7 separate regions of the Mus musculus genome follow, and all the other regions are reported to be linked to region 7. Evidence: microRNA targets listed by miRTarBase, many of them from high-throughput screens and not tested one by one. Region 7 holds a microRNA gene; each other region holds the end of a gene's coding sequence.
The links. Region 7 holds the annotated microRNA mmu-miR-3470b (UCACUCUGUAGACCAGGCUGG, at 1,670-1,690, shown strand). A microRNA usually pairs through its seed, bases 2 to 8, with sites in the 3' UTR of a target mRNA and lowers its output. Matches are read on the target gene's strand: a 7mer-m8 pairs with bases 2 to 8, a 7mer-A1 pairs with bases 2 to 7 and ends in A, and an 8mer does both.

Region 1 (3,112 bases), not on the chromosome of region 7:
AGTAGTGGTGTCTCCTGGCAACCAACAGTTACATACAGTAACAGTGCCACTCACAACGGTTATAGCCAGCATAGACCCATCATCAGGTGCTGGGTCTCAGAAATTCATTTTACAAACCATTCCATCGTCACAGCCCATGACAGTACTGAAAGAAAATGTCATGCTACAGTCACAGAAGCCAGGCTCTCCTTCAATTGTCCTCAGCCCCACCCAAGTACAGCAGGTCCTCACAAGCAATGTTCAGTCCATTTGCAATGGAGCGGGCAGTGTGGCATCCGCACCATCGTTCAGCGCGACGACACCTGTGGTGACTTTCTCTCGGAGTTCACAGCTGGTCGCACACCCACCGGGCACTGTGATCACTTCTGTTATCAAAGCTCAGGAAACAAAAACTCTTAAGCAAGAGGTGGAGAAAAAGGCCGAAGATGATTTGAATGAAGATGCTGAGAAAAGTGCCCAGCAGCCCCAGCCTTATGTGATGGTGTTATCCAGTTCAAACGGGTTTTCCTCTCAGGTAGCCGTCAAACAGAATGAACTGCTAGAGCCCAACTCTTTTTAATACACCAAAGGAATTATGGGTGGGTATTTTTTTAATTGAACTCATTTTTCGGTTGTCTGACCATAACATGATTTTTTTCTAAGATGAAATCCACAGAAGTTCTTAACTGTTAAAAAGTTACTTTTGACTTTGCTAGATAAGGAGGCGAACCCAAGTGTGTGTCTCCTCTGAATGTCTCAGAACTCAGTTGTGAAGGAGCAGGAGGTTTAGACGATGAAGAAATTCTTGACTGTTTTTCAGTTGCTATATCATATTTTAAAAGTTTCTTTTCTAGCTTGACACTGTACTAGCTTCCTGAATTGTTTGAAAATACTACTTAAATATAAGACAACAGGAAATTTATATAGGAAACATTTTCATTCCACTTGTATAATTTAAGTCTTAGCTCTTTCAGATGCAAGAAACTTATACTATTAAAATTGTTGCGATGTCACTTAGCTTGACTTTAAAGTTGGCTGGACTGTTATACTATGAATATACTACGAATTTGTAAACTATCATTATAAATTGAAGTGTATATGCTCAGTATATTGGCATATATGTGTAATTCCAGCACTGGGAGGAGGACAAAGGGCAATCAGGAGTTCAAGGCCAGCCTTAGCTATATAGTGAGTTTGAAGCCAGCCTGGGCTACATGTAACCTTCCCAAAAAAATCCAAAACAACAACAAAAATATTTAAGTGTGCCTATGATAATGTCTGAACCTGAGTTTAAGAAATGTGATGTAGCCGGGCGTGGTGGCACACGCCTTTAATCCCAGCACTTGGGAGGCAGACGCAGGTGAATTTCTGAGTTTGAGGCCAGCCTGGTCTACAGAGTGAGTTCCAGGACAGCCAGGGCTATACAGAAACCCTGTCTCAAAACAAACAAACAAATAAAAAAAGAAATGTGATATTATAAAGGCAACACTTGTGACACTTCCACTAGCTAGGTGTGTAACCCTGGGTAGGCCACTCCATCTCCTAGGTGTGTAACCCTGGACAGGACATTTCACCTGCTAGTCTGTGCTATTCTGGTAAAATGAAGGGATGCATTGGACTAGACAAAATGATCTAAAAGTTTCCTTATTATAAATTTTAGGATTTTATTATCTGTACTTTAAAATTATTTCAAATATTACCAGATTATCTCCTTATGTAAAGGTAAAATACTGCTTAAAAATATTTTCCTCACAAAATTACTATCAGGTCTGCCATAAATTCTTCCTAAGTTCTCTGCTCATTAATCTTCAGACCACAGTTACTAAAACTGTGGCTTAGTAGTAAGCTGAGGGCTAAATGAGAGACTGCTATTCTAAGAGCATCAGGGCTCTGAGGGCCAAAGAAGCAATGGGAGTCCTGAGCTAGTATAGCTGTGTCACTTATTATAAAAGCATAACTGTTTTTTATTTGGATCATTTTTTACTGTGGGTGAAGGGGAGGGGAAGTTGCATACAAAGATATATATCCAAGTTTCCGAAGTAGAGTTTTTAGATTACTTTTTCAATGTAAATAATGTATATTTAATGTCACAAGAAATTGTTTTCTGCAAATTCTCTAGTATAGAAAGTTTTGTAGAAGAAAAATTATTGTGTTTAGGGGTATAATATTATATGTTTTCATATTATGAAATGAATTTGTATTTAAACAAAAATTTAAATTTTGGAATCCTCTAAACATTTTTGTATCTTTAATTGTTATTATTAAATCATGTAAAAGTTCTCAATATTTCTGTTTTCAAGCAAATATTTCTTGTTTGTAATTCTTTTGCTTTTTGACACAAGACACACTGTGCTGTCCTAGAACTAGTGATTATCGTGCCTCAGACTCTTGAGTAAAAGGCACATGCATCAACCATACCTGGCCATGTTCTTATACTGTGTGCACATGCATGTGCATGCCTGAGGGGACACACAACATGTTCTTATACTGTGTGCACATGCATGTGCATGCCTGAGGGGACACACAACAACATTTGGGAGCTGGCTCTTTTCTTCCACCATTGGTTTCGAGGGTCAACTTCAGACTTTAAGGCTTGCATAGTCTTGTTACTCTCTGGTAAATACTGCTCCAAGAACACACACATACTGAAATGAGTTTCTGTGTAAATGAGACTCTGTCTTAGAAAGCCAAAGAGAAAATAAACTTGTGGTATAGTAGCTGTGGCTCTAAGTCAGCTTTTAAATGTCTGAATATACATGCAGGAACACAGTAGAGAAGAGAGCATAGCACTGGCTGTGGGTCCTGTATCCTGTCTGAGGTGGGTCCTCTAGGCCCTGGGCTGCTGCTTTCAGCACTTCCTGGGTCCTAGGGATCCGGATTCAGGCCGTGGGGCTTACATAGTAAGTGGTTACTCTCACTGAGCCATATCCCCAGCTCTAAAACAGGCTTTCTTAGTAATTGCTAAACTTGGAAAAAGAAAAATTCAAGAAAACAAAAATCTCAGTACCATGGCATGTCCCTACTCTCTTATTGGTAAACTTAGTCATTTTTCACATATTCGTACCCATTTGTGAGTATGTGTGCATGTGCATTTGTGTTGATACAAAGTCTCTCTCACTGTGCACCTCTGGGT
Region 2 (3,115 bases), not on the chromosome of region 7:
AGACCAGGTGGACTTCAAACTTACAGAGATCTGCCTGCCTCTGCCTTCTGAGTGCTGTGATTAAAAGCATGCACCTGCCTCTGCCATCTCTCCAGCCCCTTGTTTAATTTTAAGCTGGGTTTGGTGGTAGAAGCAAAAGAATCGGGTGTTCAAGGCCATTTTCAGATATAGATCAAATTCAAAGTCAGTCTCTTAATAATAATAACTCATAGTGGCATTAAAAATAGAATTTACGCTGGGCAGTGGTGGCGCACGCCTTTAATCCCAGCACTTGGGAGGCAGAGGCTGGTGGATTTCTGAGTTCAAGGCCAGCCTGGTCTACAAAGTGAGTTCCAGGACAGCCAGGGCTACACAGAGAAACCCTGTCTCCAAATAAATAAATAAATAAATAAATAAATAAATAAATAATAGAATTTACTATTATATGGAATAGTTGTGATACATTCAGAGTTTGGAGAACTAAAATAACTAGGAGTGTTAACAATGCTCTGTGGTCCATTTGTGTCATTATGGTCTGTCTGTAAACCTCTATTGTCTTTGAAGATGCCAATGTTCGGCGGTACCTCCAGTTGACGCAGTCAGAACTCAGCAGCTACCATAGGAAGGAGAAACAGCTGTACCTGGGCATGTTTGGTTAATGAAGAAAAGAGACATTTCTCAACTTGAACTCAAGTGGACAAGCAAAGGCCCATTGGGGAATCTGAGCCTCACTCAGCAAAAGGAGTTCACCCTTTACCTCTGACCCAGGTGGATTTCCATTTTGTTTCCTGTTCTGCACAAGTTCTTTGCTCCTTAGACCATCTGCATCGTTTATTGTCTGTCCCCTAGTGTATTTGTATGGCTTACAATCTGAGAACATTCATCGACTGTGGGTGGAATCAACTGTATTTGTGGCATAGATTTAATGGGGTGTTATTAAATGTTCTCAGACACAGAGGAGAGGGCCGGTGAAGGGTGAGAGAGTAAGGACAGGCAAACAGGAATCTTCTGTAGTATCTTCAGATGCTTTTGTTTTGCTTAGTGGGATTTTTTTTTCTTTTAATTATAAATTGAGCCCAAGTATATTTACATTAAAGATTTGAAATTAGCTGGGTGTGGTGGCGCACACGTTTAGTCCCAGCACTTGGGGGAGTCAGGCAGATTTCTGAGTTTGAGGCTAGTCTGGTCTACAGAGTGAGTTCCAGGACAGCCAGGGCTACACAGAGAAACCCTGTCTGGAAAAACCAAAAACAAACAAACAAAAAAAGATTTGAAATTAATCATTTTAGGGCTAAGGCTGTAGCTCAGTGGTAGAGTGCTCGCCTAGCACGAATAAGGCCCTGGGTTTAATTCCCCAGTGCTACAAAACCAACCAACGAAATAACAAGAAATGAATCAAACTGTTATTTAAATTAATTTCTTATACTCCTTTAATATTTCAGAGACATTCAGATTATTTTCCTCCATAAAAGTATCTTCTTTCTAGGCAGACTTGGTGGTAGATGCCTGCAATCCCAGCACTTTGGAGTCTAAACCATGACAATCACAAATTCAAGGTCAGTCAGATCTTGTCTCAGAATTAAAGGGCTGGAGATAACAGCTCTGTGGGAAAACCCTGGGTTTAATTCCCCTTTCTGGTTTTTGGTTTGCTTTGTTCCCTCCTGGTAATTTCTAGTCCTTGCTATTGCTTGCACTCAGATCACTGACAAAGTACAACTTATTTGTCATTAATTTAGTCTTTTTTTAAAACTTCTGGAGTGAATGCCTGGGATACATGAAACCCTGTTTTTACCTTCTCTCTGACCTTGTGCCAAGAAGGAACCCAAGTGCTGGTGCACTTTCTCTGGGTGTGTGTGTATGTATGGTGTGGGAGCTTAAACCCACCTTGCACATGCGAGGCAAGCACCCTGTCATCAAGCTACACAGCTAGTCCCACAGAATTTGGTTTGTATTTCAAAAAGTTTCTCTGCGTAGCTTTGGCTGTCCAAGTCTGAATATTTCATAGATACATTCTAAAGTGTTCACTTTTCTGAAAGGCATTACTTTTGTCTTCTTGAAAGTGTACCGTAGGGGCTGGAGAGATGGCTCAGCGGTTAAGAGCACTGACTGCTCTTCCAAAAGTCCTGAGTTCAAATGCAGCGACCACTTGGTGGCTCACAACCATCCCTAATGAGATCTGACTCCCTCTTCTGGAGTGTCTGAAGACAGCAACAGTGTACTTACATATAATAAACCTTAAAAAAAAGTGTACCCTAATAAATCATGACAGAACCTGTTTCCTCTTCAGCTGTCACTCTGTCTTGTAGGTGCTCAGGACCTTACAGAGGAAAGAAAGTACAAGGAAAGATGTTTATTGTTTAGTGTGTTGGAAGCACCTGATAGAATCCTGAAGAAGCTGTGTCACTCATGGGTGCAAACCTAGGGTTGTCTTGCCTTGCCTTGCCTCGGTGGCATTCAGCTACTGGTGGCTGGTCTGTCATTCTGTTTACCCTGGATCCTCTTTATGTCATGGCTGACAATTAGTAGCTAAGACCATGTAGTAGGCCTCCACCTTTATAAGCAGAGATAATAAGCATGTGTCGCTAGCCATTATATAATCAAAAACCAAATATGTTTCTTGGGGTGGGACCAACTAGCTTATTAATAATACCTAAAACTCTCCTAATACTCTGTGCTTCTATGTTCCTCCCCATAATTTAAATAATATATCCAACAAGATAAAAAGCTTTTCTACCAAACCTAAAAAAATACAAGGACAGAACTAAGTAGAATATTTTATCTTGCAGACTTCTTAAACTGCTAAAGTTAGCATATGTCTGTGATTTCAGCACTCAAGAGTGCTGAGGCAGAAGGATTACTATAAGGCCAGTCTGGCTATATACTGAATTCCAGACTAGCCAGACTTACCTAACAAAATCATGTCTTAAAAACTCAGATGGATAAAATCCCTATACTGGTTTGGCAAAATTTTGTCATAGTGAGTCCTGTCACATTAAGTTAGAACCCCTTTTTTTTTTTTAAGTTTCTACTCAGTAATTTTCCAGTATAAATCTCACCACTACCCCTCAATTATAAATATCCACTTGTCTAATTGGAGTCAATTAGGTCCAATCTCTGTGTCCCGCTGTAAAATCTA
Region 3 (3,115 bases), not on the chromosome of region 7:
TTGCGGGTGTCTTAACCATTGCTTTGCCTGTGCCGGTGATTGTGTCTAACTTTAACTATTTCTACCACAGAGAGACTGAAAATGAAGAACAGACCCAGCTGACACAAAACGCAGTCAGTTGTCCATACCTACCTTCTAATTTGCTCAAGAAATTTCGGAGCTCCACTTCTTCTTCCCTGGGGGACAAGTCAGAGTATCTAGAGATGGAAGAAGGGGTCAAGGAATCATTATGTGGAAAGGAGGAGAAGTGTCAGGGAAAGGGAGATGAGAGCGAGACAGATAAAAACAACTGTTCTAATGCAAAGGCTGTGGAGACTGATGTGTGAATTGTTCTCTCCACCTGCCACTGTCCCCCCATCTCCAAATATATTCATACATAGAGAATGCAGTTATGAAAATGAGATATGCAAACGATTGCACTGCATACAGTAATATGCTGTTTAATGGTAATACATGGCATAATTGTGACTAAACGTGTATTGCATATCAAATAAATGATACATCTTGGAGAAGAGGGAGGCATTAAAAACAGCAGATCTATCTTTATATTTTTTAATAGAATGCAAGAATTTTGCACATAATGGGAAAAATGTTAATAGTAAAGGTGGTTCTGAGGAGAGTGAGTGTGTGTGTGTGAGAGAGCGAGAGAGTGTGTGTACCTGGGTATGTAAGTAAATTGTCAACACTGTTGGGAATTGTGCCGTGATGGAAAAAGTTGGCATTCTGAAGTATTTACTATGTAAGAACTAATGAATTTGAGCAGTCTTTTACCAGTGTTTTAATAACATCTCCTATGTCTTTGGATTCTGTAGTTGTTTTTTAGAAATTATAAGAATTACTGTGTAGAAAAAAGAGAAAGTAAATTATTTAATAGAATATAGGTCACAATTTAATCTTGGATTTAATTAAAGTTTATTTTTAACTGGAAATTAACTTTTGAAAAGGCTGCAGGGGCCTTTAGAAATTGATTATATTTTATTATTAATTTTGGGGAGATATAATAGCAAATGCCTAACATTCTGGAGGAAATGTAACAAGTTTTGTTCACAGGTCTTAAAACTGGATTTTTTTTTCTTTTGCACTACTTTCTATGCCGAAGCCCGAGAGAGACTTCATACTATGAATGTTTACTAATGCACCAATCAGTTCAATGACAATCATTGGAAGAATGGGTTCTTCGTCTCATTTATTGTTCTCTTCCTTTCGTGAGACTAATGGCCACACAAATAACAGCACATGATTCCTGCTTTAAAATCCGAACAACTCATCTACAAAGGGACTATGAAGTAACGTTCAGCAGCCGAATCTTTTGAAATTGGTTTGTTACGATGATGCTTCAGAAACCATACTATTTTCAATACTCTTCTGCCTTTTAAGTCCAGAATAATTTAACCAAAGTTATTGCATGCACAGAGAGAATTCTTGGAGAAATAAGGCACCCAGCAGCTACAGCAATTATGGCTTAAGATCTTTTTATTAAATATGCAACAAAATGCTAGATTTAAGTCCCTTTTGTGTATGTGTGTGTGTGTCTGTGTGTGTCTGTGTGTGCAGCTGCAAAAACAAAACAGAACACGAAATGTGGGGATTCGCCTCAAATGCTAAAGCACTCTGCTAAATCAGAGTTAGGGAAGAATGGTTTTAGAGCATTTGGTTTCCCAATGGTCATTGTAAATCATTATCATCTTTATCACAGGGGCTTCCTGAGGATTATACTTCCATTTACCTCACAATAGCTATTCTTGAGTTTGGAGTAGGAACAAGGAATGCACCACGAACAACTGTAGCACCATAAAATACAGCTCAGAACACTCAGTATAAACACATAGGAGGCATTACTAAACAATTCATTAAAACAAAACAAAATCTTCTTTATAAATGGTTGCCCTGAGCATTGGGAAGAAATCCCATGTCCACTATTTCAGTCCATAGCAAACGTGAACAAAAACAAACAAAAAAAGAAACACCCGCTCACCCTTTCTTGTCAGATTTTTCAAATGCTTTTGGTCCAGGAAATCACTGGATACATTTTACCTCTCCTTTAACAGTATTTGAAATGAAAAGAATTCTAGTAAATCAATATCTTTGTTCCTGTCTTTTCTCTACACTTTGCTAGAACTCCATCTGGAGATGGAAAGGCAGCAAGCAGTGGAGGTGCTTGAAGAACTTGGTGCCACCTTGTGATTAGGACTCCAGAGATAATATTCTGATTCTAATACATTGTATTGAGAAAAGTGTAGTGAGAGTCTGACAGGCATGGCCATAATCCCTTCACAATACTCACTGAAACGTGTTTACACCCCATTTTTTTTATGAGTAGAAAATCATTTTAAATTAGAGGAATAGGGAAACAGTAAGAGGGAAGCTTGGGAACCTGAAATGTCCAGTTTCATGCAAATACCTGATATGATAATTTCTCCAGTACAGCCCATTTATTTAGTATTTTGTGAAAATAACAGTAATTGTTTGTGATCAGGAGGAAAAATCATTCTGAATTTCTTTGCTCTTTGTTTCGTTGACATTTCCTTCCTAAATCAGAAAAGTTGTATTAAATTTATTTGATGATATAGGTATTAATAATTCTCAGACTACATTAGTTACAAACAATTAAGAGTCCCAGGGCTTCCCTGAACTCACAGAGTGGTTTGTTGTTGCTTGTTTGTTTGGAAACTGCTGGAATTCCTAGTCATGTGCTTTCATTCCAAATATTATTAGAATGTCATTCAAAGTGTGTTTTCCTCTATGCAAAATGCATTTATCTTAGAGTGTGTCTATTGATTCTACATTGAGAAGAAACTTCAAAGCCCCCTTGCCTTGAGTTTGGGCATTTCTGCATGAAGTACTTGTTCATGTGAAAGTTGGGTGTCCAGTACAGCTTTGAGTTAACAGTCAATTCCCAAGTTGAAGCTATTCAAAGTACTTTGGAACCCTTTGTGAAGATTTCCTACTGGGGAAAATGCTGCTGTATAAACTGATTTAGGAAACTGTATTTTCTTAGATGCCAATAAGTAGGTTTGAAATACATACAGGTTCACCATACAGGGAAGAAAAAAAGAAAGTGATCCCTATTCAAAATCAGGATGCTTGAGGACAGAGGTCCTTTTCAGATGTCATT
Region 4 (3,000 bases), not on the chromosome of region 7:
CTCACTTCCCTCCAAAACTGGACCAGTTCTGACACCGATGGTTAGGCCTTATTTATCTTTTCCTTCTTCAACAGGTTCCCAGGATATTTGTCAATGGACGATTTATTGGAGGCGCAGCGGACACTCACAGGCTTCACAAAGAAGGGAAATTGCTGCCTCTGGTTCATCAGTGTTATTTAAAAAAAAAACAAGAGGAAAGACATTGAATGATGTGGATAGTCGCCATACCAGTAAATGCTAGTTAGTGCAGTCGTACCTTTGACTTGAGGCTGTTTTCAGTGTGTGGATTGCCTTCATAAAGATGATTCAGAATAATGAACAATAAATTGCCCTGGACCCTTCATCTCCCGATTGGCCAGTTTTTGAGCATGAGATGGTATAAAAAAACTAAAGGAGGTGGAGTTACATCAAAAGTAAAGAATGTTTATTAAGAATTTAAGAATCTTACAGCAAAGAGGGAGTACGCACTTAAACTCTTGCTCCCCATGGCATTCAGGAATTAACTTCTCACGTTCACTAGCTGTCAGGGCTGAGGACTGACATGTGGCTTCCTTAAAATTTAATGTGGTACAGATGTGCAGTGGGTTGGGATACCATATCATGACAACCCTTTATGTTCTAGACCACCAAACATACTAAATATGTAGAATTCGATGAAGTTTCTAGTTGGGGCATCAAGCTGCTAATGACTTCATGGTCAGAAAGCAAAAGGTTTCAATAGAGTGAGAGTGGGCTTTTCAAACAGTTCAGAAATGTTATTTAGTTCTGTTGCCAGTTGGACATTCTACCTTTCAGAATGTGTATCAGCTACTGGAATTTTTTTTTTTTTTCCTTTTGGAGACAGGGTCACTCTGTAGCTCAGAATGGCCACAAACGCAAAAGTCAGTCCTCCTACCTGTTTCCAGGCTTGGATTATATGCTGAGCTACCACACCCAGCTTGAGAATGCTTAAGAGAAACAGGAATTAGAGTTTAGACTAACGGTCCTTGTTATAGTCCGAACGTGCCCCACCACAGACATCATGTGTTGGAAACACATGACATAACCTGATATGGTACGCGAGGTGAGGCCTTTACAAAGTACTTAATCCTGAGGGCAGATGGGTCCGTGCTCTATTAGAGTGGTTCTTGATAAAAGGATGAGTTTGTCCCCTTACCTCTCCCGTCTTTGCTCTTCCTCTTCTTCCTCTGCAGTGTCCTGATACAGCAAGGAAATCCTCACTAGATAACCTCACCTTCCCGACCGATGACCTAGAGAAAGTCCATCTCTTCTTCATAAAGTACTCAGTCTCAGGTAGTCTGTCTGAGTCCCACAGATGGAGCGTCCCTAAAATCACTTCTGTTATCTTACTATTCTCTAACTAGGAAGACACTGTTCAAATTGACTTCATTTCAGATAAACTTAGCAAACAGAATTAACCTTTAAGAAGTAATATTTAAAAGAACTGAAAACATTTCCAATGCTTTGCTAGTCTGGTCATGGTTTCCGCCTCTGGTCAAGAATATTTTAAGTGCTTAAGAAATGATGCATTTCCTAGCAGATTCTCAGAGTCACGTTGGAAATGTTATCAAATGCTGAGCCTTTCTCAGGTAGGAAGAACATGGACTTCCCAGAGTGAGTGCTTCAGCTTTCTGGTCAAGATAGACTAGGGACTCATGCAGAGTTTGGAGGGAGACAGTGGCTTGCTGTCAGAGATGTTTCCTACGTGGACTTCAACTGCATTTTGGATAACTTGACATAGAAGTTAAGACAGCTCTCCTGATTTAAGCTGTCATGTTGGTAGGAAAGGAACATGGTGTATTTTTATTCCTTTATTTTACACTATATCATGAGAAATTATATAATTTTACTATGCTCTAAAACTCACATTATGTATGGGAAAGGTGTCACTGTTTCTGTTGTCACTAGTAATCTTATTAGGATGTAAGGTCAAAGGCAGGTTACTTAAATGCACAGCTACACCAACCACGTAATAATATGGCCTTGGCTTTGAGGAGCTTTTTTTGTGGTATTCAGCCTCAGACCCAGGGCTTGAATAGCAGGCAGGTGTGCAGGTGCCACTGACTTATAAAACTTTTTCTTTTTTTTTTTTTTTACATTAGACTTTTTTAATTAGATATTTTCTTTATTTACATTTCAAATGTTATCCCCTTTCCTAGTTTCCCCTCTGAAAATTCCGTATCCCCTCCCATTCCCCCCAACTCACCCACTCCCATTCCTGGCCCTGGCATTCCCCTATACCGGGGCATAGAACCTTCACAGGACCAAGGGCCTCTCCTCCCATTGATGACCAACTAGGCCATCCTCTGCTACATACGAAGCTCGAGCCATGAGTCCCACCATGTGTTTTTTTTGGTTGGTGGTTTAGTCCCTGGGAGCTCTGGGGGTACTGGTTTGTTCATATTTTTGTTCCTTCTATGGGGCTTGCAAACTCCTTCAGCTCCTTGGGTCCTTTCTCTAGCTACTTCATTGGGGACCCTGTGCTCTGTCCAATGGATGGCTATGAGCATCCACTTCTGTATTTGTCAGGCACTGGCAGAGCCTGTCAGGAGACAGCTATATCAGGCTCCTGTCAGCATGCTCTTGTTGGCATCTGCAATAGTGTCGGGTTTGGTGATTGTTAATGGGATGGATCTCCAGGTGGGGCAGTCTCTGGATGGTCATTTGTTCAGTTTCTGCTCCATGCTTTATCTCTGTAACTCCTTCCATGGGTATTTTGTTTTCCCTTCTAAGAAGGATCAAAGTATCCACACTTTGGTGTTCCTTCTTCTTGAGTTTCATGTGTTTTGTGAATTGTATCTTGGGTATTCTGAGCTTCTGGGCTAATATCCACTGGGCTAATATACCACTTAGCTATACAACTAATTCTTAAGAATGTTTTATCAGTTCTTCCTAGGCTTGTGGGAAACAAGAGGATGTGTGGTACATAATTCTTGGTTAGGGTCAGATGTTAAAATAACCCAGCTCTTAAAAAATCCTTATCGTCAGAAGGCTCAAGAA
Region 5 (3,115 bases), not on the chromosome of region 7:
TGAAGCTGACCACTTCAAGGTTGCGGTCAACGATGCTCACCTACTGCAGTACAACCATCGGATGAAGAACCTCCGGGAAATCAGCCAACTGGGGATCAGTGGTGACATAACCCTCACCAGCGCTAACCACGCCATGATCTAAGCCAGAAGGGGCGGCACCGAAACCGGCCCTGTGTGCCTTAGGAGTGGGAAACTTTGCATTTCTCTCTCCTTATCCTTCTTGTAAGACATCCATTTAATAAAGTCTCATGCTGAGAGATACCCATCGCTTTGGGGGTTTTTATGATACTGGATGTCAAATCTTAGGACTGCTCGTGACTGCTAGGCAAGTGTTCTCTCACTGAGCTACACATCCCTAGCCTTTTAAACTTTGTGTGTTGTGTGTCTGTGCACATGGGTACAGGTGCCTGCTCACTTGAGAGGCACCAGGCCTCCTGGAGCTGGAGTTACAGGTGGTTGTAAGTAAGCTGTGTGACCAGGTTGCTGGGAACCAGTCTCAGATCCTCCTGAGACAGGTCAGGTCCACTGATGCCTCCAGCTGCCTGTCTTTATATGCCCTTTGATTTGGTGCAGTTTTATATAAAGGGAACTATGTAATTATCAATAAACCATCCTGATTTTTACAAAGGAAATACGCTGAATGGCGCCAGCTCAACAGCAGACAGTTACCGTCGGCATCTGGGGAGAGTTGTGTTGCTTAGCGCTGCTCGGCGATTCCAAGGAAAGATCAAAGGGTGCACTTACACAACCCTAGATAAGGGCCAATCAGGAACAGGAAAGAACGACGTGAGGCTGCTGCCAGTGCTGACCCTGCACACTGTCTTCCAGCATTATTCTGTACCATGCAGACTCTGCTCTATACGACTGGGAGCAGGTCGCTCACACCAGCATCACTGCAATTATGGGACAATCAGGTATATAGTCCTGAACTATCTGTTGTGGAGGCTGGTCTTAAACCCATTTTTCCTGTAAAGCCCCAGGTTATTGCCTTCAAATGAGTACTCAACACCATTAAGACTGTGTCTTGGTTTTCATGTCCATTCTCATACCTAACACTTTCTATCTTTCCTATTATCAGTAAGCTCAAAGTAGGAAAAGGTCAAAAGTCTTGTTCTACAACGTTATCTTCTCGATTAGTTTAAACTGGTGAATGTCACAAGCTGGCGTCCCAGGAAAACAGAAATCAAGAGGTCTGTAAGAACAAGCACTTGCAATTGCAACTGATGGGACAAGAATGTACAGAGAGCTGGGTCTCTCCTTCCAGAATGTAGGTTCCGGGCATTGCTCTCAGGTTTGGTGTCCTTACCCACCAGGCAATTTCTCCACCCATAACTTTCCGTCATCCATTAGCAAGCTGTTCCATGCCGCCTCAGGTTTTGGTAAGGGGGGGCATTTTATGAACATTCCTCTATGCAAACTCCTCAAGTAACCTTCCAGTAAGTTGTTTGGGTGTCATGATAAGCACCATCTTTCCCCAAAGCCAAACACACCTACTTCTGACGTCAAAAGTAGACTAAACTTTCTCTTGAAAATGTCTAACCCTAAACCTGTAAGGTTCCTATTCTGTGTGGAATGTCTCCTTCCAAAGCACTCAGGCCAAATTATAACACAGGAAACACGGGGAACACAGGGTAGGGCTGTTAGCTTTTGCTACTGTTTGCTGTTGGTAGCACTGAGTTGTCACTTATGTTCTACTGTATGTATGAATGTATGATGTATGTATGTATGTATGTATGTGCGTGGGGGGAGGGGAAGGGCTGAAATATGCCACAACATGAAGGTGGTGTCAGAGGACAGTGCCTTTCTCTGAGCCATCTCCTTCCCGTATCAGCAGTGTTTTACGGTCATGACGCTAAGGGATTATAAAATCAGAGCTGGAGTAGCGACTCAGCCAAGTGCACACACTGCTCTTCCAGAGGACTGGCTTTCCAGCGCCCATGTGAAATAGCTCACAGCATCCTGAAATTCCAGATTTTTTTGTAAAGATTCTTCTCTCTTTCATCCTTGTCCATGGCAGCTAGCTCTGTTAAAGGGGAAATTACCAGAGGCAGCAAGGATTGAACAGTGTAACTATAATCAGTGCACTTCATGATTCAGGAAACCTTATCTAAAGGAATACAGGAAAACCAAACTATCCTGATGTCAACAGATACAGGTGCTCAAATGAAAATCTATAAAATGAGCCGGCAGATGCAAAACTATCTCACTTTATCAGAGAATTAACAATGCGAAGAAAAGAATGTTTGTTTGTTTGTTTATTTATTTATTTATTTATTTTGGTTTTTCGAGACAGGGTTTCTCTGTATAGTCCTGGCTGTCCTGGAACTCACTCTGTAGACCAGGCTGGCCTCGAACTCAGAAATCCGCCTGCCTCTACCTCCCGGAGTGCTGGGATTAAAGGCGAGCACTGAATGTTTATTTAAATTAATATTAAAAGTCATGTTAAATTTAAAGCCCTCCTGGTGTTCCCTTCAGGGTCATAGTGGTGAGAAGAGAATGAGGTCACCTCCAAAGGAGAACTGTCTGCTGCGATCTGGCTGTCTGGTCTCCTCCCGAGTGCAGGGGCTGGTGCAGCTGAGGCCTGGCTAAAGAACACAGCAGAGCAGTCAAGGAATCCACCATCGAGTGTGGCCCCAAATAAGCTTTTTACACCCTTAGTTAACTGAGTGCCAAGGAGTAAGTAACTTTCCCTATGTAACAATGAAATTATTAACAGCGTAAGACCTAATGTAAAGGATTTTTGTTTTTTATGTGCACCACCATAGCAGGCGGATCTCAAGCTGCCAGCCTGGTCTACAGAGTGAGTTATAGGACACCCAAAGCTACACACACAAATCCTGTCTCACCTCCTGAGCCCCCAGTGAAGACCCGCAGCAGAGCACAGCTGGAGTAAAGAATTTCAGGGTGAAGACCACCAAGGAGGATGGCGATGGGGACAGACCCCGCCCACCACGTCCTGGCTGCAGCAGAAGCAACAGCTTTATGTTGTTCTTTCTCTCTCTCTCTCTCTCTCTTTCTTTTTGGTTTTTCGAGACAGGGTTTCTCTGTATAGCTCTGGCTGTCCTGGAACTCACTCTGTAGACCAGGCTGGCCTCGAACTCAGAAATCTGCCTGC
Region 6 (3,000 bases), not on the chromosome of region 7:
CAACTCACGTCCCAGACCACAAGTGTTCTCAGAGGTCTGGACTACTGAGCACTGCTAAGATGTACTGGCTGTGCTTGCCTACAGGACATGCTGTTTCTGGGTGACTTTAATGCCGATTGCAAGTACGTGAAGGCGCATGACTGGCCATCGATCCGCCTTCGAAGCAGTGAGGTGTTTAAATGGCTCATCCCAGACAGTGCGGACACCACAGTGGGCAACTCAGACTGTGCCTATGACCGGATTGTAGTGAGTGGCGCCCATCTGCGCAGGAGCCTGAAGCCCCACTCAGCCTCAGTTCACAACTTTCAGGAGGAATTTGACCTAGATCAGACCCAGGTGAGTGTGGACAGGGCTCCAGCAGACATACTAGTCAGCCCCCTCAGGAGAGGGCTCACAGAAATGCTCACCTGCTGGGAGTTTACACTGATGCTTGCTCTAGCAAAAGCAATTATCGCCAAGGGTCCTTAGAGTGCCAAGCCCCCAGGAAGGGACTGTTGGCACACTTCTGTTCTCTGCCACATGGAGGCAGTATGAGGCCCAAGAATGGCTACCAAGCCTTCACTGCCTTCTTGGTGGTGGTGGTGGTGGTGGTGGTGGTGGTGGTGGTGTGTGTGTGTGTGTGTGTGTGTGTGTATGTGTGTGTATGTTTGGGGGGAGGGGGCAGCTAGAGAAAACGCTGCCCTGCTGAACCGCTGAGACTCCCCCAACCCCTCTCCTTCCAGGCTCTTGCCATCAGTGACCATTTTCCTGTGGAAGTGACTTTCAAGACTCACTGAGAGCCAAGGCCTCAGGATATGCCACCTGCAGACTATTACCACAAGGACTGGCACCACAGTGAATCATTCAGGTGGCAGGCCACCCACCCACTGAGGACACAGGGTCGGACCAGCTGGTGTGGACAATGGCTGTGAACACATTTACAGGACTCCTTAAAGCTCCCATTTCCTCATCTGCAAGGTGAACTAACATCACCTACCTCATCGGGCTGCTGTGAGGAGAACCGAGCAGCGCCAGGCACATAGCTGCATGCTTAATAAACAAGCCGCTCTTGGCCAGGACTACCCACAGGTTGGATGGGGCCTCTGCTTTCTGAGACCTCTGTACCGAGGCTGCAGAGCCTGGTCTTACTGTCCAGTAGGTCTATTTCCATTGTTGTTGTTCACTTCCCAGCCTGGAGGATGCTGGCTCCTCCACACCATGCCAGCTCCCTATCCTTATTGCCTTTGTGCGAACTTGAAATGCTCGTATGAATCATCACCCAGTCACCCAGTGGCAGCTCAGATGGTAATGTCTTTCTGGACCCTGCTGGATTTGAGAGCAGGCCCTGATCATTCTGCCCCAGGGATCCTAAGGCCTCACGTAGCACTGCCGGCAGCGATGGCGGCTACACCTACCCCGTTAGTGAGCTCTTCTGCCACCTTCTGAAAAGGAACCTACAGCAAAGGCAACTGCTGGGCACGGAGTCCTACCCAGCCTGCACTCTGCTTAGGCCAAGCTGTTCAAAGGTGCCTCATGGAGTAGCTTTAAAACTTTGGGCTGGGCGAGGCCTCGGCAGGATGGAGATTTTATGCTCAGGTGGGCCATCACTTTAGGAGCAGGAAATAGCTCTGTAGACACAAGGCTCTCATAAGGCTTCTAGTTGTTAAAACTTGTCGTGTGTGTGTGTGCACGTGTACATGCACATGCACGCACACATGCATACGTGCTACTATGGAGGCCCAAGGTCAATAAAACCTCTTTAGTGAGATTGGAGAAAAGGCATGAATTACATGGGAAAAAAACCTTGCGGTGGATTAGAAAAGTTTTGTCGTTTGTGTTGGCATTTCTGGGAACTGAATCAAGGATTTAGTGCAAGCCTATCTGGATTGCATAAAATCTAATCTAAGATTCAGGACCTTACCACTGAATAAGCAGCACTGGGCTGAGGCAGAAAGGCACTTGCAGTTGCAGCCATAGGGCCCCATGCTTCGAGGGACAGCCTCTGTATGCACACGTACACTTGGATAAGCCAGAGGCCCAGCAAGTTTCTACCTTGTTTCGAGAGGAGGTGTCTCACTGGCACTTGCTGGCTGGCCGGCCAGAGCCTCAGAGATCCGCCTGTTCCTGCCCCCACCCCCACCCCCACCCCCGGCACTGGGGTCAAGCGCATCCACCTTGTCCTGCTTTGTTTCAAGTTCTCACCATAGCATGGGAAGCACTGTAATGACAGACCTACCCCACCCAGCTAGTGGGACTGTTAGAACACACACACACACACACACACACTCACTGTATATGTACATACACATGTATGTATATTTGCATGTATGTGTGTATGCACCACATGCTTCATATGAAGTGCTTTTGGAGGCCAGAGGGGGCATCGGATACCTTGGAACTGCAGTTACCACGTGGGTGCTGGGATTTGAACCTGCATCCTCTACAACAGCAGCTAGTGTTCTTAATCACTGACCTATTTCTCCATTCCTGAAACAGGACATTTTAAGGTTAGGAACACAAGAGCTAAGAGAGTTTTGAAGTTGAAGAATACCTTGTTTATATATAATCTTTGGGACCAGTGGGTCCCTAGAAGGCACATATGTGGCAGCTGTAGGTTAGCCCTTATTTTTATTTTTTTATTATTTTTTTTCAAAACAGGGTTTCTCTGTATACCCCTGGCTGTCCTGGAACTCACTCTGTAGACCAGGCTGGCCTCGAACTCAGAAGTCCACCTAGGTTAGCCCTTCTTTTGCTTGAGCTTTTCCAAGTACATGTGTAGGGACTTCTGGATGGAGTCTTTGGAGATGAAACTGGTGAAATTCTGGATGTCAGCCTCTCGCTGCTTGATCAGGTTGTCTGCGGTGGCCTTTCGCATCATGTTCTTTGTCAGCTGCCGAGAATGGTCTGAAGAAAACAGGGTTACTTATGAAACTCACCTGTGCAGTGTGGGGGGCCGTTCCCGGCTCCTCTACACTTGAGTCCTCAAGTACTGAAATATAAACTCTCCTAGAGTTGGGAAAA
Region 7 (3,115 bases):
GCAGAGATGGCTCAGCCGCTACCCGATAGGCAACCAACCAAAAAGGCAAATGGTCCTTGGATCTTGGCTTCTCTCATTTAGCCTAATGTAAAATGCTACAGAATTTTAATGTATTATCTTTGTTTATTGAGGCTATGGTCTCAATTAACATTGATAAGGTACATTTTTTTTTAACTTGGAGAGTTAGTAAAATATTCACACTTCTTAATGAACAGCTGTCCAAATAATCTCTCTACTAATTTCTTTATCACACTATAGCAGCACATGACCCTGACATTACCATTGCTTGCATCCCCCACGGCACGGTCAGCTCCTTTGACTAAGGTGATCGGTGTCTACTGAATGTGGGACACATGCCACGGTGCTAGGGAGACTTTGAGGAAAAGTCATGAAACCACCCTAACCCTCAAATTGCTCTAGTGTCTCCTGTGAGATCTCACCAGCCCCTGCTCCAGATCCTTAATAAAAAGGCTTTCTAGTAGTAAATTCTAAGAGTCATAGCCTCATCTCTAACATTTCTTCACGTCCCACACGTGCTTACCAACTTAGCAAATGAGTCTCTTCTCTCCCAACTTGCACTCTACCAACAAGAGGGCAAACCGCACCAAACGATGAGTTCAAAGAAATTCAGAACTGAAACGACCTACAATGATCCCACTGTGATGGGCCATAATGCACCTTGACACTCTACGTTGCTTCACTGTACCTTGGCTGCACATTTTCTTCAACTGATAACAAGTGTTCCATTTCTTCAGCGTTTAAGCCTAGCTCCGTGCCATAGTTCTGCTGGAGCAGTTGCCAGAACTCCTGTCTGGTCAGGCTCTAAGATGACAGAAACATTGCGTGACTATTGGAAAATGCAACAGATAACGTAACTGTAATTCAAAGCACAAAGGCCAAAGTCAGAGGAGCCGTGGTGTGAGCAGTCAAGGTGTGGCTCGGATAGATCCTGGCCTATTTGTCTCCCTATTTTCTATTTTTAAAAAAAAGGGTTAATGGGAGCTGGGCATAATAGCTTAGTGGTTGAGAACTGCATATCATCCACAAGGCTCTGCAGAGCTCCATCCCCATCGCTGAAAAGGAAAGGTTAAATATGCCCATTTGATAAGAGACATTCAAGAGGAAGTCCCATGGATAAGAGCACTGGCTGCTCTTCTAGAGGACCTGGGTTTGATTCCCAGCACCTGCATGGTGGCTCACAACCACCTATGACTCCAGTTCCAGGGGATCTTCTGGCCATCTCAGGCGCACGAGTGGTGCACAGACCTATATGTAGGCAAAAATGTAAGAATAAATAATTAAACCAAGAGTTAAATCGATAAACAGATAATCGTTTCTCACAGGGTTTAACCACATTCTCAAGGCCGATCTTGGGCTTGAGCTATTCTCCAAAGAAGTTGAAACTAAAAGGCACATTCCACTTAGAAAATGGTGGGTTTTCAAAGTGTGTATTAAAGAGGCTACTGTGCAGAAGTACACTTCAGTAAAGATGCTTAAAGTGATTTTTTTTCTATAAAAGTAAGTTACTTATCATTTCTGCTAATTACTGATCTGAAATCCATACAACCTATGATCACAATTCAGAGTTGTCCTAAATGTTAACTCAGAACCAAATTTTTTTTTTTTTCCGAGACAGGGATTCTCTGTGTAGCCTTGGCTGTCCTGGCACTCACTCTGTAGACCAGGCTGGCCTTGAACTCAAAAATTCACCTGCCTCTGCCTCCCGAGTGCTGGGACTAAAGGCATGCGCTACCAATGCCCGAGAACCAAAACTTCTAATTCACGATTGTATCTGAATATTTTAAGCATTTTTAGAACTTTGCACACCAATGAGCTCCAAATTACATTTTCCTAAAATATAAAATGCAAGAAAACAACCTTCAGAATACTAATTTACTTTTAGTAAATTCTAGCTTGCTTCCTTTATAGACAGCATGTCAGTGGTAAAGTTACCAAGTACAGCCGAGAAATGTACCCGTGGTTAAGAGTGCTTGCTGCTCCACCAAAGGACCAGTGGCCACATCCTAGCTCCCACATGAGGCAAGTCACAAACATCTGTAAATCTGTAACTCCAACTGACACACCCTTCGGGATTCCATGGGCATCACACACACACACCGACCCACTTAAAAAAAAAAAAACCTTAATCACCAAATAAAGCAAGCTGTAAACTATTTGGGAAAATAACATCATATCATAGTAACAGACTGGTCTCCGGGAACATTGCAATTAATTACATGATTAAGCAAGACAAGAGAGAGAGACAGCATGGTACTTGAAGCAACTGTCAATACGATCTTCCATCCATTCCACAGGTCTTTATTGGGAATGAAACCTGTGGCACCGCTCTAGATCCAAAGGGTATAAAAACAATCTCCGAATTTAGTACTCATGTCTGAAGGATACAGGGCACTCTTAAATCAGATGCACATGATCATGTGCTAATGGGCTGGAAGAGTCTATGGGATAGGGAAGTGCAAAAGGAGTTAATATTATTGAGGACCAAGGTGGCCAGATGAGGCTCCACCGAGGAGATAGGCTTCTGGGTAAGCTAGAGGACAGACGGATTCGTGAAGAAAAACTAGAAGAGATGGAGAGAAGACGACCAACCCATAGGGAGGGCAGAGATGGACAGAAGTAACATTAGTTATGAAGCTAGCAAGTAAGTCATCTCCTAGCCCAATCAGAGAAATGTTTCAAAGTTAAGAGGTTGAATGTAAAAATATATAATGGGGCCAAATGTATAAAGGCCCTGAATTCAGCCCCGGTGTTCAGCCCCTACAACAACCACCACCGCCTTTCCCTCCTCCCAGGAGCAGCTCTGTGTCCTGGTTTTTACTAGATGACTCTCCTTACACTTCATGGAACCAGGGAGCTTAAAAGGAAAATGGTCTGGACTTGCGGCAGCTATATCCCAGTTTGCCAAGATGACCACAAAACCAGCTGATGACAATTCAGATGTCATTATCTACACTTCAAAAATGTCAAAAATATTCAAAAACCTGCAATAAAGGAGGCAAGCTAAGAAAAACATGCCTCTTTGCTTCCAGCTGATTATGTGAACGCGGAGTAGAAATCCCAGGTTGGAGAACTCTAACTGAAAAATCACACATCT

Region 1: the mRNA of Elf1 is a reported target of mmu-miR-3470b. Seed matches in the 3' UTR shown: 8mer at 1,373-1,380.
Region 2: miRTarBase lists Ttc9c as a target of mmu-miR-3470b. Seed matches in the 3' UTR shown: 8mer at 1,170-1,177.
Region 3: the mRNA of Kcna4 is a reported target of mmu-miR-3470b. Seed matches in the 3' UTR shown: 7mer-A1 at 617-623.
Region 4: miRTarBase lists Glrx2 as a target of mmu-miR-3470b. Seed matches in the 3' UTR shown: 7mer-A1 at 720-726 and 8mer at 1,611-1,618.
Region 5: miRTarBase lists Dlgap5 as a target of mmu-miR-3470b. Seed matches in the 3' UTR shown: 8mer at 2,327-2,334.
Region 6: miRTarBase lists Eci1 as a target of mmu-miR-3470b. Seed matches in the 3' UTR shown: 8mer at 2,671-2,678.

The regions. Positions count from the first base shown.
Region 1 is chr14:79,580,212-79,583,323 of GRCm38, forward strand. It overlaps Elf1 (E74-like factor 1), which reads left to right. Exons shown (of 9, transcript NM_007920.4): 9 at 1-2,280. The coding sequence ends at 559. Among named protein-coding and RNA genes, the nearest start is that of Sugt1, 5.9 kb to the right of the region's middle.
Region 2 is chr19:8,809,267-8,812,381 of GRCm38, reverse strand. It overlaps Ttc9c (tetratricopeptide repeat domain 9C), which reads left to right. Exons shown (of 4, transcript NM_027412.3): 4 at 544-3,115. The coding sequence ends at 638. Among named protein-coding and RNA genes, the nearest start is that of Zbtb3, 8.3 kb to the right of the region's middle.
Region 3 is chr2:107,296,562-107,299,676 of GRCm38, forward strand. It overlaps Kcna4 (potassium voltage-gated channel, shaker-related subfamily, member 4), which reads left to right. Exons shown (of 2, transcript NM_021275.4): 2 at 1-1,943. The coding sequence ends at 326. Among named protein-coding and RNA genes, the nearest start is that of Kcna4, 7.5 kb to the left of the region's middle.
Region 4 is chr1:143,746,434-143,749,433 of GRCm38, forward strand. Glrx2 (glutaredoxin 2 (thioltransferase)) reads left to right here. Exons shown (of 4, transcript NM_001038592.1): 4 at 75-3,000. The coding sequence ends at 206. Among named protein-coding and RNA genes, the nearest start is that of Glrx2, 8.4 kb to the left of the region's middle.
Region 5 is chr14:47,385,539-47,388,653 of GRCm38, forward strand. Dlgap5 (DLG associated protein 5) reads right to left here. Exons shown (of 19, transcript NM_144553.2): 19 at 2,241-2,585. The coding sequence ends at 2,478. It overlaps Lgals3 (lectin, galactose binding, soluble 3), which reads left to right. Exons shown (of 6, transcript NM_010705.3): 6 at 1-629. The coding sequence ends at 142. Among named protein-coding and RNA genes, the nearest start is that of Lgals3, 13 kb to the left of the region's middle.
Region 6 is chr17:24,438,832-24,441,831 of GRCm38, reverse strand. Eci1 (enoyl-Coenzyme A delta isomerase 1) reads right to left here. Exons shown (of 7, transcript NM_010023.4): 7 at 2,516-2,883. The coding sequence ends at 2,717. Dnase1l2 (deoxyribonuclease 1-like 2) reads left to right here. Exons shown (of 8, transcript NM_025718.3): 7 at 85-336; 8 at 723-1,064. The coding sequence ends at 776. Among named protein-coding and RNA genes, the nearest start is that of Dnase1l2, 2.8 kb to the left of the region's middle.
Region 7 is chr16:44,012,216-44,015,330 of GRCm38, forward strand. It overlaps Mir3470b (microRNA 3470b), which reads left to right and starts at 1,637; the gene lies at 1,637-1,762. Gramd1c (GRAM domain containing 1C) reads right to left here. Exons shown (of 17, transcript NM_001359085.1): 6 at 707-822.